Linked DNA regions of Neodiprion lecontei. Each later gene encodes a partner of the first gene's protein in a complex. Links are inferred from orthologs where the notes say so. Each region holds a gene or a part of one and is shown in the gene's direction. Other genes may lie near its edges.

Region 1 (8,423 bases):
CACGAGAGCGCTGCGTAACAAATTCAAGTCCAAACGATACTTCAAGAAGCATCCAAGAGTCGGCTATCTCCCTGTGCAAACAGTTTTGGAAGGCGACGCCCTCGAGAGTCCGGCTCCGTCGCCTCAGCACAGCACTCTGAGTCAAGACATGCATTCCAGACTGGAGATGTACGCGTCACGTTTGGCCGAGGTTGAACTATCCCGAACGCGGAGTAATTCCACACCGGATAGCGACGACGAGCATCAGCTGATAGCTCATTACTGTCAGAGTCTCAACGGCGCGGACAACATCAACGTGCCGAGGAGTCCTGTTCAAGTAATGGCGGCAATAGATGCCGAACAGAGAGAAGAACTCGAAGCAATGATCAGAGAACTCGAGGAAGAGAACGCGACCCTACAAGCTGAGTACGAAAGGCTGCGCTCCAAACAAACTCCGGGTTCCACACCTGAGGACGGCCACAGCACCCGGCAACCCGACTGCGACATGATCGCCGAGGCTAAACTGTTGAGGCAACACAAGGGGAGACTCGAGGCTCGCATGCAAATACTCGAAGACCATAATCGACAATTAGAAGCGCAGCTACAGAGGCTAAGACAACTTTTGGACGAGGTAAATTTTTTATAATTATTTGGCAATGGGTACATTCCTTGAGTATCGATAGCCCCAGAATTGGGTGAGATACGCGACGGAAGTAAGAGACGATCGCTTACCTTTCAGCCAAACGCAGCATCACCCTCGAAGACTGGAACCCTGCAAACTCGAAGCGTGACTGCGTCGCAGCTGGCGACTGATTCCCCGGCAAAGATGAACGGGCATTATCACGATTCTCCAGGTTTGTCTCTATTACCACTATTTCACTTCACGTTCACGTGGCTGCTTTGGGATGCTGACATTGAAACATTAGAAATCATATAATCACGCAATAAACTCCCATATTCATGCTAACGGTAGTTGGATAATTTGTTGTCAAATCATTTTTTCGGGAAAAAATATCACCTCGACTAACCGAAATCCAGTCTGATCAAAATATAGTCGAAGCTGCTATTTTGATCACGGTATCAACATCGGTCTATTTTTATTAAAATCATTTCATCCTTATGCAAGCTTTTAAACGACTGATCACCGCCGATAATTATATGCTACGCAATCGGCGCACAATGCGTACACAAACGTGACAATAACACGACACTTGGTGTAACTTTCGTTCACTAGATTATCGAACGTAATATACCGTACATCAAACTTACAATATTCGCGATTGTACAGCAGGAATGAGGCAAGTCCGCGCGACTTGTGTCGACAACCGTGTTTGAAAACATCCTTTAAGGTGACCCCGCTGCTGCGTCCTGGCACCGAGTTGATTAAAGTCGAATTTTACCCGCAGAAACTTCATTTTACCGCACACACAAATCACTCACACTTGAAACATGTCGCTGAAAGTTTATCGCACATACCTATAATACGGCGTCGTGACAAGTTTAAATTAACTAATATTTCCGCTCGCGACCGACAGCAGATTGCGCACGCGTCAAACCATAGACTTCATCAATCGTTGACTGCGGCGAACTAACTGAGAAGGGAGAAGTTTCTCGGGCCAAATTTCTGTCGCAGACGGCGCTGCGAGCAACTTTCGTAACTTGGGCTGGATTATCACGGGCAGCAAAATGCCGCCGCAACAAGCAACGCTACGCTGCGACAGCGAAAAACTGCCCGTGAAAATCTCGCCTTAGCTTCGTTCCTACAAAACAGTCCAGCCATTTTCCGACGAATCGAAATTGCGGGAAGTTTTAAACATATGTAAGTACATAGGTACAAACACGACCACGTTGATGTTAATAAATAAACATATGAAAAGCTAATATTGTAATATGTTCGTCATATAACATCAACGTTTCTACCTACTTATATGTGTTTAAAACTTCCCACAATTTCGAATCGTCTGAAAATAGCGGCCAAGGTGAAAGAGAAATACCGGATTCTTTGTTGCGATTCTAACGTACCTACCGCGTGTATTATGCTAATTTGAACTTGAAGAGAGCATACCGAACGCTAATCTCATCAAGTATTTCATCGCAGTTTGTCAACTTGGTTTAAACGTCCAGCGTTAGTCCCGATGTGAACACGTAGCCATTATTTGCAAGGCGTTCGAAGGTCTGAGACCGAATAGAAAAACTGTATGGTATTTGGTGTACGAGGTAGTATTATGGGCATAGGTGGTGGAGGATGGGGTGAAGGCAGAGCAGGAAGTCTAGAACGTCCGCCACCCCCGCCACATTCGCACAGCATATCACATAACGTTGGCAACCTGATGCACATGGCAGGTCGGTACGCTTCAAAGGGATTATCGCATGCTTGTTGTGTTTGTTCTACGTATTCGCAGATGCACAAGCAGGCGAACCCATAGGGTCCGCCTGTGTGCAGGCAACCCGTGCTACTCTGTTGGCATCGGTTGCCCACGCACAGGCGTATCGAAATTGCGCATCTGCGAAACAATCCGATATAAGTAGAAATAAACAAGTAAAACTAATCACATTTCATACAATAAATTAACAAAACATGCTTAACTGCTTTCACGCAACAGGACGGATGTAAGAGGTAAGATTACTCTATTCGCTGTCACGTATTTGAGACGATGAAAAATGTTTTAAAACTACCGATTTTTTCTTATAATTAATGTATGTTTGCATACTAATTCGCGATGTTATTATTTCAACATTGCTAATGTCTGGCTCATGATACGTCTCATTTTGATAACACGTATGAATGCAGATTTTTTTTTTTTTTTAATCTACAGGAGACTTGGGTAAGGCTGTCGAGGAACTGGTCACAGTAATGACGGAAGATCCGTCAAGAACAAACGGGCAACGAGGACCACCACCGCCGCCAGGATTTAAACCATAGATTATACACATATTAAAATAACATCCTTGGATATTACCGAGATGAGACGACTGTAATTTATCCCTTAAATATATCATCTATTTAACACATACATACTATAGGTATGTACGGTTTATAAACCTAATTGTAAATGACGACCAAGAACGAGTCTGGCTCTAACGCATATCAGAGACATATTGAACGTAGTTTAACTACGTGAAATGCAGGATCAGGATGAGGGCCGCCAGCGTGGTTTTGGGTATTTTATAAGTTTTGATATACAATTTGTATAGCTGAATTATAATTAATATGTAAACTGTTACTTGGCTTGGCTTTGGCGGCTCCCCTGCAAAATAGAAGAAGAAATCAACTACATATTGGCTTATCATATCACGGACCTATCATACAAAGAATCAATTGTTAATGCTTAGTAGCTATAAAATATGAAGATAAAATATTATAAATATATATAAAATTATTATTAACAATAATAATAATAATATTATTAATGCATGAAAAAGCAATGTATCAAACTGCATACTCTGTAGAGTGTAGACTATATTTACATGACCATTCTGTTTAACCACTGCCATTAAATTTTTTTTAAAGGCAAGAATCAGAATAAATAAAATCAATCAATTACCGTAGAGTTTGAAAAAGGCCAATATTGCAGGTAGCACACAAGTGAAAAAAATAATGAAATTTTTAAGTTGAAGTAATCATTTTGTATTCAATAATAATAAAAGAAAGAATATCACATTATTTTGATTTTATTTTGAAAAGCCTCTTCCGATTGTGTACTACACTAATTTTGTAAGTTTATAACCGAACGTTAGTAAAGAGAAATTTGGGAAACAAATATATTTTAAACTACGTAGCTTTCGAATGGCATGGGAGATTCTCTTGATACTGTTCGGATAAAACGTTCCGTAAAATTATTGAAAGCAAGAAAGATAACACAATGATCGTTATTTTTTTCATGGAACCGTAGCATTACTCCAAATCATGTTCCAACAGCGATTGATTGGATATATTTTGAATTGTCACATTCCGCAATAAAAGTATCGACCCTGTTATTTTTTACATTCTCCTTCGTACCATGTATATCGTATAATGTAAACTGTTGTTACGCCCCCTAAGTTTTTCATAGTAACACTAAAATCAAAGAGTAAGTAAAATATATCGGTAAAACATTTAAATGTATGTACAAAAAACGGGATCGCTGTTTGAATGACACAACGTCGTTTAGAAATAATTTCGTATCAATTTTTATTCGTAGCGGTGGGACGCAGAAACTACACTGTATATAACTGAGCACGAAGTTCTCGTTAGATATTAAACAGAGCCCACGCGTTAATAAAGAAAAACATCTTTTAATTCGTATCACTCACCTGTAATAAGTCTTCTATAGGGTATTATCGTTAATTAACGGCGTACCTACATACCTATGTATGTATACTTAGTTACGCAACGTTTACGTTGATGCAACAGTGATTTAGAGGTCATATCTCGTGAAAATATGTTAATTATTGTATTATAAACATAGTCATAAATTTTCAGTATATCGTAGTACATAATACATTGCCAAATTATAGCAATCTCAGTCAAAATGTTCTTCAAAATCGTGAAATCGACATGATATATATGCCCTGCTCATAGTAATGCCTCGTTAAAAAAATAACCATCGTTACCTTATCATCAATATTTATATTATTATTATTATTATTATTATTATTGTTATATCTATTATTAATATTATTGCTATTACTACAACTACTACTGCTAATGCTACTATTACCATCATGTTGTTGTTATGATTATTATTATTATTATTAATTGAATATAATTCTTAAGCTAATATCACAATGGCTTGAGACAGTCAAGACTTCCAGCAGTTGTGCACAAACATTATTTTCTTAATCCACGTTACTTTGTTGATTCGAGAATTGTATACTTTATAATTTTTTATACATTAATAATATATGAATAGATCTTATAATACAATACACACGTTTTATATACCTATATACGGAAAGAGCATTTTTGCAGCGGTTGAACTGAGGAGGGAAGCAAAAAAAACATTTATGAATTTAACCGCAACTGTTTTGTTGGTTTTTTTTTTAACCTTTTTTAAACAGTTTTTTCATTTACGTCATGTTCTTGTTCTTTTTTTCGTTCCATTTTTCCTGGCTCGTTACACTGTCTTTTTATGAATGTGCTATTTAAAAAGGAAAAAAAAAAAGAAATGAAAATGTCAATTTTCGCTTTGTTATAATTTTTGCTCGCAAAGATAATTTGAAACTTATTATACGCGTGATGTAAGCGAGGAACACACATATCATCTGACGATAAATGTTCCGATTCTAAGTAGTCCGGAAAAGGGCGCTGCCCGGACAAACATTATATTTACAATAAAATGAAAAAGAGAAAAAAAAAGCAACGACGCTGCACGCCTTTTAGAAAAACACTCTTATTACCCAATGTATTGGTAACAAATGACTTACGAATTACAATAAAATAATTGTTAACAATGCAAACACTATATTATTATTTATTCTTCTTTTCAACCGTTCCTGATCATCGATTGATTGATTGATTGATTCAATAATTTTATGCTAAATGAGTGGCAGTATGCTGGGAGAATAACTATGATTTACAAAGGCACTGCCATTTCTATATCTTATGATCTAAAAAAAATATGTCAGGCAAACGTATTTTAAAACATAAGTACACCTGGAAAAAATGAATCATAATTTAACATAGTCAATTGAATTCGTTTTCAAAAATATTTTCTCTAATTCAAATATCTTAATGATCTCATCGTGTCGTTGCAAGAATTTATAAAACTTTACTAATATGTCATATTCGTGAATTAAAATGCCACGGAGAGTAGCTTACAATTGCTCTGATGTTTGTTTGTATGCAAAATTTCGTTTTTTTATTGTTTTTTTTTCTTCATTATTTTATCTCTTGTTTTATTCGTGCCTACGAGCGTAACGTTTTATTCGGAAAAAATGTGACCGTCACACCCAAAGATATTTATCACTTTGTAATATTATTAATAATTATGTAAGAAAAACGCATATGAGTAACGAAGTATTAACTGTATTAGCTAGCTATTATTACAACGCTCTTGAACAGAGAGGTGTTGTCATAAAACAATATTGTAAAAGACTATTACTTTGGATGCAACAAAGGTATAAATTATTACATGTACAATATAGACACAATACTCTGTTCCCTGTCCTCGAATTGAAGTCAACTGCCGCTTTCGAGGTCCGCTATCTCATGATTTAACTCAGATGGTTGAACATATTTACCTATAATTGATCTATGTATATCTTGTGTTGTCTTTGGTAAGACGGATTCGAAATTCCGAATGGTAAGAGTTCGTTACAGACCCTTGTCAATTTATTGAACGTTTTTCAGACCTTCATCCAGGACTCAAATGTGTTGGTGAAATTCTTGATTGTAGTAAACTTGGATAAAGTTTGGACGGATAAATATTATTTAAATTGTAAACTGATTCCTTATTGCGCATAATTTTCATAGTTGGGGTTTTTTCATCAGACGTAATCATTATTCACTATGTTCAATTACCTGTCGGTTTTCGACATTCTATAAACATGTGGTTAAAGTGAGTACTGGATTAGTCTGAACACTTTTTCCTAGACCGGGTTTATCTGATTATGAATTACGGAAATTTTTTTTTTTCCGATCAGTAATTTCTGAGAACTGATTATTGATCATTTCAACTATTACTAACTCGGAGACGGACGCTAGGGTGACTCGAGAAGAAATGCCCTAGCACGTGCAGTCATTTTTCTAACTCTTCCTCTACTACTGATACTAATGGCAGGTTCGGGTACGCTTTCGTCGCTATCTTCGTTATAATATCGCCGTTTAATTTTTCGCCGATTTCTTATAGGTACGGAATTACTTTCATCGCTATCTACGTTATAACGAGGTCGTTTAACAGATCTTCGAGGTTGGATGCCGGTGTCTTGACTGTCAGAATCTCTAGACACTCTCTCGTTTCTTTTACTTCTCGCAGTTTCGAAGGGTACATCCGACGTTTCACTGTCACTATCTTGATTGATACGCAATCTTTGAGCTGCAGATTGTCTCCGAGTTTCCTTTTCGTCCGATTCATCGTCGCTTTCCTCTTCCTTACTTTTTTCGTCCTCGCTTGCGTCTTCCTCTTCCTCTTCATCGTCATCTTCATCTTCGTCTTCTTTTTCTTGTTGCTTTGTTACATCTTGAACAGGCGCGAGTTTTCGCAATTGTCTTTTCGAACTTCTCGTAACAACTTCCTCCGCCTCGCTTTCATCCTCTGTACTTTCAGGCTCCATAAACTGATTATCTTCATCCTCGTCATCATCGTCATCCGCAACTACGAACGGTTTAGCTTTTGGTTTATTCTGTCGACTAGACTTTCCATTCTTAGCCCTATTTTTTCGCGTCTGTTTGCCACGCCCCCCTGGCTTGTAACTATCCCCAGAATCACTATCACCCGCCCCATTGCTAACCACGGTCCTCCTCGCCGCCCGAGTTTTCCGCATCGGAGCACTGTCACTGCTCTCACTTTCAATCGTCGCTTCAGAATCATCACTTTGATCGCTATCGCTGTTACCATTCTTTTTACTTGGTGTCACCTTGCGAGATATCCTGAGACTAATCTTTGGACGAGATCCGCCACCAGCTCTGGTACCATGACCGTTAGCTAGTCGAGAGGGGCCTGACAAAAAAGAAAAAAAAAAATAAAAAAGCCAATTAAAAAGGACAACGAATCATAAGATTAACATTAAATACTCGTGTCTAAGCTTCGTATTCAATTACCAGGTCCATCAGCATTCTGCAAAGTCCTGGTGGTTTTGGGTGCCAATTGTCTTTCATTTTTGTCGACATTATTAACATCCATCGCCTCTTCCTCCTCCTCCTCCTCCTCCTCCTCTTCTTCCTCTTCTTCTTCTTCTTCTTCGGCACTGCTTGGGGGTGGTCTCACTCTTGATGAGCCTGTGAAAAGATAAACAATAGTGAATAATGAAAATACTATATAAGTAATAAAAAAATGACGTCATAGCACGCCTGCATCCAAAGACAAGAGTGAGTGAATCTTACCAGCTCCGTTAGTTAAACGTGCAGAGGTCTTCCTTTTCCCTTTAGCCATCCCATTGTTGATTTGACTGCGTCTCCTAGCAGACTTCCAGTTGTACAAAATCCTTCGCATATGTTCCTCAAACATGGCGGAAAGTCTTACTGTCATCGAATATATCTGTCAAGATAATATAAAATAGAAATGAAGATGTTATTGTTATGCTCCACAATAGTCCAACCGTTTGGACATGCCAAAATGAAAATAGCCCAATTGTGGTGAAGTATGCAAATATATACAAGGTTGAAATATGCGCATTAAGGGAGATCCTTAACAAATAATGACGAGATTTGTCGTACAGGAATTCATTGATTATTGTGGGGTATAGACTAGAGTAAGATGGACGATTGCGGAGCAAGAAGGTGTATTTAAGAAATTGACCGTCGT
Region 2 (9,118 bases), on another chromosome or scaffold:
GATACCGCACAATGTTTTCAAAATTTATTGGCAGGCTCTTTGAATCCAGATAATCCATAACGCGTATCAACGTTGTTGCAATTCATTTCTGCAATCAAATAAAATACGACGATATTTTGTTAGCGATATGATTTCCAAATTGATAGACGCAGCATTCAAGATTTACGACAATTTCTGAAAAATATGATATACGCATTAAATCGTTGTTGAAAATTTAGACTCTTTTTACAAAAGGATAGCCATTACTGCAAAAATAACTGGTATATATACGTATTTCGGTTGCAACTTTGGAAGACACTCCGAGTTCAAGGCGCTCTAAATTTTAGAGACAACAACACCATGCATCAACCTTTGATCTACAATAATAAATTGAGACGTAACGAAATAAACAAGTACAGTACCGATACCCAGGAAGAAATTTTGAAGGAGACATCATCGTTGATTCCAAATGTGAAGACAGCCTCGCAGTGACAAACAAACGCGAACCGGGGTTCGATTTCGAACGACACGTTGCACGAACCACCGCCGCAAACGCAGCTACATTCATGTAACACAACACATCGTTGAGCCTCAACCGATCCGAACTCTTCGTTTCGACCATCGTCCCGATAAATTTCTTCCGATCCATGAGGAACAAAACGCAAAAGCCAACCATGCGATAATAAATGCTTTACAATTGGGTTTTATCGAGGTGTATTCGCACGAGAGACGCGAAACGCAACAGTACGATTCACAATCAAACGAAGGTGTTACACCAACTGCCAAGATCCCTTTTCCCAACCCTACGTATCACTCAATTCTAATCGCTTTCTGCGTTGTAACTACTGCAACGAATTTTTCGAACTCGCCAAACAAAGAAAAGCGACGTCATTTGTTTCTGCGGCTAACGAACTTTTCTAACAACGAGTATGCACAATAAGCGAATTCACTGAAACTCAAGTAACAAATTGGCTTCGCTGGACATGTAACTCACCTTCAATGCTGACAGGCTATGCTTACTGCAGAATCTCTGTTTTCTCTAGGCCATACGCTGCCGGTCGTGTATTATTCATCGATGAGTTTGTTGTGAATACACTGATCGAATCACGTGACACAGCTTGAACAATACGATATAAATGTCGGACCGTCGGAATGCATGTTTACACTCCCGCTGCTCTGAAGCAAGTCGCGACAGGTCGAAAGAGCGACGCGAACTGCGCCCTCAACGCAGTCAGATGTTTATATTACTGAATTGCCGCTGCAGGCAGCATCAGGAGTAAATACCGGACTACACAGCGATTCCCGATCATAGGCAACTGAAGGTACAAGTTCACTGATTGTGAGCCGCTCCGAGTTACGCCGGGGCGACCCGAGCGCTATCGGTTTCAAGAAAAAAATCCGCAATTCGAAGTTCTGCTCGGTGTACATGGGTACCTTGAATTGCCTATAATTAGAGATGTTTACGCTGCGCATGTAGATTTGCCGGATCACGTTTGGTGTTTACCAAACTCTACCTGAAGGGACCTAGCAGATTAACGATCACATTCAAAATATTGGCCAGTTACAAGATTCTCTGACATTTCAGATACTCAATTATCATACGAAAATTTACCACTCGGTAGAGAATAAATTATAAAAATATCTTTCCTATCTCCGTAAAATTTTCAGATATTGCTCAAGTGAACGCAGTTATTTATCACTTGAGTGTTAACTTGTAATAAAGGTTCGGGATACTTATATACCATGTTAACCTGTTGTAAAGGACTTGGGTTTAATAATTGTAAGGGTAAAAATTTGCGACGCATATGTGTATTATCAGTTGTTCTTATAATTACATGGTATTACAAAAACGCGACGCGTTTACATCATCATCGTCGTCGTCGTCCTTATTTTATTGAATACAAGAGGAATCTGTTTACGTGTTAGGATTAGCGTTGGGTCCGCGACGACGACCGAACGTTTGCACTACGTTAACGAATCGTCGGTTGTACTGTATTCTCCTCTTAGCACGGCCGGTCTTCTTCTTCTTCTTTTCCTGCTTCTCAACCTAAAAACGGAGAGATCAGTGTGATTATTATGTTTATCATTACAAATGGTTATTGAAATGAAGTCGACATTTCTTTCAAACTATTGTTACCCACCTTCGGAGTTTGTCCCTTTACTTTTCCAGCACGAGCCAAGGATCCGTGCACCTTACCTAACGAACAGGGGAAAAAATATCGATAAGATAGATTCAGATATGGAAATCATGATGGTAATGATGAAAAGGTATGTTTTGTCGCAATTTCATGAAAGACTAAAGCCAATGATAAACTATAGACTCACTTTAAACTGCTTTGTGATATCGCATTATTGCTCGTTCCGTTAGATGACAAAGACCATCGAACAGTTTATCATTTTAATGCATTTTCTTCAAGTGGGATTATATTCCAGATAATATCAGTAGATGACTTTGTGGGGCTTCCACAGATCTCAAAGTTGCAAAATTCCAGGCATTCGTTTACAGTGTGTATAATTTTCCAACAAAACAGCTATTGCTGACACAATTGAGCATCAGAGTGTCACTTTTTCACAAAATCAGTAAGAAATCGACACAGAAAATAAAACAAGATCTCAAACAGCGAATACTTTCTCAACGTCGAAATACGTTTGACAACTTAGCGGAGATCGAAAACAGCTGGACGTTCATTACCGCTAATAGAGTTCCATATAAGTTTGCATCGTTGCTTAAATATCAGACATAAGACGATAGCAGAGGTAGAAAGTCGACGATGCATAGTGAAGAAACGAAACTAGAAGTAAACATAGAAGAAAAACTCACCTCCAAGCAAGGGCACGGTCAAGTCCAAGGATAAGGCTGTGAGTTCGGAGACAAGAGCATCGTCTTCCAAGGGAGCTCCTCCGCAGGAAAGGCTGAGGCTACCAGCGTCAATATCTTCGATGGCTGCTACTTGCGCCTAGAAAATAATTCACGACAAGTCAGAATCGAATTTAGGGATCCGGAAAGAAAATACTAAATTTTGTAAGTTTGTCTTGTTCAAGGTCTATGAAAAGCCGGAAGTAATTATGCAACTTCGGGCTCCCTGAGATCTGGATTAATTTTAATCTGGCATTATTGCTCATTCCAGCAAAAGAGGATTCCTTGTCGCCGGGTTATCATTATAATGCTTGACAGGCCAATTAAAGAACTCTTCCAGAACTTTCCAAACTTTTCGGGATAATCTGGACAGCAAATCGTGAGGCTCACCTTGATGTGACCGATGGTTTCATCGCCATGGCACTCTATGACATGGGACTCCTGTCCGCGGATGTGTAACTGCATGATGAGGTCTGTCTGGTATGAAAAATCACACGATCAGTGTCACGCCGTAAACACGTGTGGTTAGAAAAGTGATCGGGGCTCCAACGCTATCGAAACGGTCTTTGCAGGTTCAAACAGCTTCGTATATTCAGAATCGATCAATTATACGACGTCTAAGCTTTTCTCGCCACTATTTAACCCCCAATTCAATCACTAATCAGTATATTTCGGTTAACAATATGTCTGACTCACCTCCAACTACACGGTCAGGATGCAAAGAACGGCACCGGAAACAACGCCATTGAACGCCATCTGGCACGGAAGTATCGTGAGTCAATTGAGCACTGTTTCAGAAATAATTAACTGTGGTTGGGTTACAATAATGTAAGAACTAAATTATTACGCAGGGTTATTTTTGGATTCACAATTCATTAATATTTTACAAGTCTGTTCTTTTTTAGCATTATTTTAACAGTTTCATACCGAATTTGACCAGTCTATGGACAAACAATGATGTAGGGACGGTGCGACATGACTTTTACGCTGACTGGTGATAAAAATGTGAACTTAGTGGGCGGATTTGTTAAATTTTTATAAATCAACTTTCGTAATGTCATCGTTGAAAATAATTTGTTGCATCCGTGGATGCACAAATACGTTACGTCGAAAACGTTTCAATAATGACATTCCGGAAGTTGCTTTATAAAAATTTAATAAATCCTCCCACTAAGCTCACATTCTTGCCACCAGTTGGCGTACCCTATATAAAACATGGCCGCCGAAAGCGCGAAATTTGAATTTCGGGTGGCAATTGTTGCAAGATCGATAGTAAAAATCGATGAACGATACACCGAAATCGTTGACACAAAATACGAACGGAGTCGATATGGACCATTTGATTTTTGTCAACTCAGCGGCGATCCAAAGTCGAGACGGTCGAGACGCTGTTCCACATACAAATCGAGAAATGTCAGCACGTGATTGGCCGACGTAGCAGCTGATCGCCGTGCCCGAGCCCCGAAGACGGTGTTCCCGTGGCTGTCCGTAGCAGGTAGTAATCAGTCCTCAACGTGAATGAATCAGACGTACACGCGGCGTTGTGTTATGAGTTGATAAATAGATCCCCGTATTTATTATGGTGTATAAAGTGGGTGAAAATACCGTGGAACAATATGTTCGTCAAGTTTTACAGAGCGCTTCTGACCCTCCTGCATATTTCTTACGCGTTTATCACCCTCCTGCGGAAGGCGTGGACGGACGCGGCTCAACTTGAACTATTTAACCTCAGTAGAAGCAAAGTCCTTACGGACGCCGATTACCTCGTACGTTGCGTTCGGAGGGTCGATCAGACCCGCCTCCCGAAGCATCTTGTCCTGATTCTAGGACGCGAACGAGCCTCGCTTCGCGATATCGTCCGCGTTATCGCGTGGTCGGCAACCGCCGGCATACCTTGCGTCAGTTTCTACGATTACGATGGTAATTATACGGTACATGTTGCATGTGACAACTGTTAACCGACGGTGCAACCGTTCTGGGTTTGCAATTTATTATTCACCTCTTATCACTTCTTCAGGTATACTGCGAAAGAACGAAGAGGAAGCCAGGAGAGCGCTGGCTAAATTCAAACCCGAGCTGGTCGATCATGTCAACTGGAATTCGACGTGTCCAGTGAAAGCCGTTAAGAACGGTCTCAATGGTACATCTGCATTTTCAACTTGCCACTAAACGCATCACAGAAAATCTATCACTTATAGTCATAACTTTCATTCAACGCTTGCTTTAATCGCTCCAACGTGTTTCAAAGCTGCACTCGATCTATGTCTCCTGTCGCGTAATTGAGTTAAAACTTTCTCATGTATCCCAAAGGTTCGGTACTGGTGAAATATAATATTTGAAAACCTGCACGCAAATCGAAACTAATGTCATAAATTTCCCCATTTTTATCCCATGCCCTGTGGCCTGAACTGAATTCGATAAAGATTTTTACCGCATTTCACAGGTGTGAAGCACAAATTGCAAGTGCAGCTATTGTCCTACACAGATGGAAAAAGGGAAGTGGCACTACTCACACAATCGTTGGGAAAGGGGGTAATCACTGGAGCACTGAAGTTGGAAGAAATCAATTCTGACCTTCTTGAGAACAAGCTAGAACTCGGGGGACTCCCTGATCCCGATCTAGCTGTTGTTTGTGGAAAAACGTGTAGCACGTATGGTCTACTTCCATGGCACATAAGGACCACGGAATTCCTGTAAGTTGAGCAATAGGTGACTCCAAATCATTAATTATTAGTACTATAAAAAAGTTGTCGCTTTTGGAAACTGCATGGCGAACGTTATTTTCATTCAAGTTGTAACTTACTTTGTAATTCGATATGCTTGGTATGTCTTTAAATTATTTATTATACATTTACTTTTATAGCCTATTGGAGAGTCATCACAATATACGAGTCAATGATTTTGTCAACCTATTGGAGAAGTACGCAAAATGCGAACAGCGGTACGGGAAGTGATGAAAAATTGCTAGGATCTTAAATTTTAACACGTCGTATCATATGGCTGTCAAGAAAATTCAACCCGGTCAATCGTCACAGGTTGTTGTATCTATACATACGAATATAGGGGGATTCATACTTCGTGCTGAACTAACCATGGATCAAAAGACTGAAAAGAGGAAGTTAATGAGACATATAGGTAACACTTGTTTAGTGCAAATATACAAATATCTACGTAGTATGTACAGCCAGGTGTACTATTGTTTTTTTTTCTTGATTCTATGATATTCCGAGCCCCGGTGAATAGAGAAGGACAACTTCTACAGGCAAGAATGTAATTATTTGTCCCACGTGTATGTACAACATTTCGCAGTTCGTTGGTTTTAAAAAAAATAAAAGGGAACAACTATTCCTTACATCTCTCAACTTACGTGACAACCTGTATTGCTGAGCATATTTACTTACTTATATGTTAGAATATGAACAAATAGTAAAAATTTTGGCAGACAATCGGTAAACATTTAAACATTTGCAATCACTGTACAAGATGTCCTTCTTCGAGTCTGCTTCAATGCACCGTTCTCGTGCTGACAATTTTGTTATCGGGAGTAGTAATTTCTTATGCTGCAGTATAGAAGGTATTTATACGACGTTAAATTAATCTAAATTAATAATCAATAGATGCGTATGAAATTAAGGAAATATTGGATGAATTTTAAGTGTTATTTGCATACGTACACTGATAATTAAACTGATGTTTAATATAACACCAGCCACCTATGCTTTTTTAACAACCAGGAATAAATTCATCTAACTGTAATGTATTTTTGTTCAAATGGTACAATGGAGCAATTTTTATTATTATTGAAATTTTATTTTCACGAATGAAATTTGTCATGTATAAGTATAAAACAAGCTTCAGCGCGATTTCCGACACTTGAAAATATTCCAATATTTTGTAGCAATTAAAAAGGTGAAGAATAAATTATGGAGCCGTACGGGAAATATTGATCTAGCGCGAAAAATTATTGCGTAAAATTTCTAGGTGAAACGCATTGTAAGAAAAGTTCATTTCAGATTAATTATCTTAAGAAATATAAAATCTGCAGCTTAGACAGTATTCCTGTCTTGCTTTCCCCGACCGACAACAAACTACCTATAATATGTATTCACAACAGTGGTATGTATCGTGTGATGATGTAAATTATTATAAATCATAAGTATAAAATATTCCATGGAAAAAATTTGTGATCATTGGTCAGATGAATCGACGTGTGTGTATATACTGCATCTAAATATTGTATACATAAATTATATAAATAATAAGAAGATATGTGAACGTATCATACAGTTTAGAATGGGACTGATCACCCATGAACCATATTCCAATAAACTACCATAGTATTTCATGATAATTAGCTGCGTTTTATTTTCTTTCCATAATTGGTTCGATTAAGTAGATTTATCTGTTAAAGACAAGGCCTTAAAATAAAATTCATTTTCCGCTATATCTTAAGAAGGTAGCAAGAAGAGAATAAATTTTTCTCGGATCTAAGTGATTATAATATATATTTATTATTTACACAAACGCTTTAGTCCGTGTTAACGTTTTAAATTATATATGTATAAGTTTTGGCAACTGACTGATATCAACTTGAACTGTAATGGGACACTATTACTATTATTATCATTCTTATTAGAAGATTATCAAGTCATGTGCATCTCATTATTCGTTAAAAGAACAGATAGAAAGAGAAAGGAAGAGAGTGAAAAACGATGCTAAGTATATTTAAAAGAAAACTGTACCACTGTGTTGAACATTGATGAAACAAAGCGGAAGTTTTGTAAAGCTGGAAGTGGTTCTGCGGTATGAAGTAGACGTGTTTGCCAAGCCAATCGTACCAGCTGAAACAAAACGATATTCCAAAAACCTATTCTGAACACTTATATTGGCCTGGTTTGTGATATTTTTCGTATTTTCTTTTTTGTCTTGTTTTTTGTATCAGCAAAAATCGAGACGAACGATTCGATTCTAAAACTTTGCAGATAATTACTCTTGAGACGCTATCGACTAATTACTTTATGGAACAGATTAATACAGATGATCGATTTCAGTCGGGTACAAGAATTGGGTTTTTGCTGTTTGGATGGTTTTCACCCGACGAAATGTAAAATAACGTATGGCGTCTGTTGTGAACATTCATGTGTCCATGTAGATTAGAATAATATATTATCCCCCTTGTTTTGTGAAATGTCTACCGTATCTCTTATCGACAACCAGTCATTACAATAGAATCGCAAACACACAAAAAAGCAAGCCCGTGATTGCGTATTTTTTGATATTGTCATCTATGGACCAGTCTGTTTTAATCTGTGATCTCTAATAATAAGAATATAAATACAACCTTGGTTTAAAATGGTGGACAGGTTCACTCCCTGTACCGACGCGATGACTTCTTACCGTCACGATGGCTCGAGTAACGTGATTTGGATCGTGACCTCCGCTTATCTCTAGACCTTGAACGGCTCCTCTTTTTGCCTCTGGAAGAATAAGATCTAGACCTCCTACGATCCCTTGATCGCGACCGAGACCTCCTCCTCTCCCTTGAACGGGTTCTACTCCTTCTCCGCTCTCTCGTTCGAGAACGACTCCTTCTTCTTTCCCTGATGTCACGAGATCTGGATCGAGACCTTCTCCTGTCCCTAGAATGGGAATTCGATCTCCTCTTCCCCCGTGAACGTGTTCGTGATCTTGTTCTCTTTCGATTCCTCGACCGCGATCTCGAGCTTTTTTTGTCCTTGGATCGCGACCGCAATCTTTTCCTTTCCCAAGATCTCGATCTGTGTTTCTTTCCTGACCTATAGCTGCTCGATCTTGAGCGATGCCGTTTTGGAGTTTTAGACTGCGACTGCGACCGCGACCGCGAGCGAGACCTGTGTCTGTGCCTGTGGCCATGATCGTTATCGGCCGATCGGGATCTCGAGTGTTTGCTTCTCGACTTGCTCCTGCTCTTTGACCTCTTTTTTCTCCGATCCCTCTCACTATCTCTATTAGATTTTCTGCCCGTTTTCACAGAAGCGAGACTGGAACTGGAGCTGCTGGATTCGCCACTGCTAGACTCTGAATCCGCCGATCTTGACGGCGACCTCGCCTTTGCTGTATCTGTGGTAACACTTCGCCGCTGCGGCGTTTGTCCGCCGCTTGATAGTGTTTCTGATGCTTCTCTTTGATTATTTATCGTTTCTTTTTCATCAACTAAAGTATGACGTCACAAATTACGCTCTCAATCATTTTCAAACAATAAAAATATTATTTTGTGTAACGTACCTAAGTCATTGCTGCTAG

What was found.
Region 2: the proteins of dehydrodolichyl diphosphate synthase complex subunit DHDDS (region 1) and dehydrodolichyl diphosphate synthase complex subunit nus1 are in contact, whole or in part, in a crystal structure (PDB 7PAX), measured with the Homo sapiens proteins. The link is inferred for Neodiprion lecontei from reciprocal best matches to the Homo sapiens genes DHDDS and NUS1. Residues at the interface, in NP_995583.1 of Homo sapiens: Arg37, Arg38, Glu81, Asn82, Lys84, Arg85, Arg159, His160, Ile162, Ser163, Val166, Arg167, Met169, Ala170, Trp171, Val173, Glu174, Pro180, Ser181, Ile183, Ser184, Glu185, Leu188, His199, Glu209, Val210, Arg211, Leu212, Ser213, Asp214; in NP_612468.1 of Homo sapiens: His137, Gln138, Pro193, Glu194, Lys197, Ala198, Ile200, Val201, Ala204, Gln205, Phe207, Cys208, Gln209, Val211, Ala212, Arg217, Pro218, Thr219, Leu221, Asp222, Val223, Leu226, Asp237, Pro246, Val247, Asp248, Ser249, Thr250, Leu251, Gly252.

The regions. Positions count from the first base shown.
Region 1 is NC_060266.1:23,980,339-23,988,761, reverse strand, and holds the start of dehydrodolichyl diphosphate synthase complex subunit DHDDS, read left to right. Parts: upstream 1-3,665; 5' UTR 3,666-3,676; intron 3,677-5,171; exon of another isoform or gene 5,172-6,660; coding exon of another isoform or gene 6,661-7,619; intron 7,620-7,720; coding exon of another isoform or gene 7,721-7,897; intron 7,898-8,002; coding exon of another isoform or gene 8,003-8,156; intron 8,157-8,423. Other genes in the region: dystrophin, isoforms A/C/F/G/H, read left to right, coding at 1-610, 719-833, 2,215-2,322, 2,796-2,902; PH-interacting protein, read right to left, coding at 6,661-7,619, 7,721-7,897, 8,003-8,156. UniProt on the Homo sapiens protein: With NUS1, forms the dehydrodolichyl diphosphate synthase (DDS) complex, an essential component of the dolichol monophosphate (Dol-P) biosynthetic machinery.
Region 2 is NC_060262.1:1,016,785-1,025,902, forward strand, and holds dehydrodolichyl diphosphate synthase complex subunit nus1, read left to right. Parts: upstream 1-4,149; 5' UTR 4,150-4,452; coding exon 4,453-4,756; intron 4,757-4,853; coding exon 4,854-4,976; intron 4,977-5,279; coding exon 5,280-5,529; intron 5,530-5,699; coding exon 5,700-5,790; 3' UTR 5,791-7,187; downstream 7,188-9,118. Other genes in the region: uncharacterized protein LOC107228169, read right to left, coding at 1,895-2,026, 2,121-2,176, 2,801-2,936, 3,227-3,301; arginine/serine-rich protein PNISR, read right to left, coding at 8,202-9,028, 9,101-9,118. UniProt on the Homo sapiens protein: With DHDDS, forms the dehydrodolichyl diphosphate synthase (DDS) complex, an essential component of the dolichol monophosphate (Dol-P) biosynthetic machinery.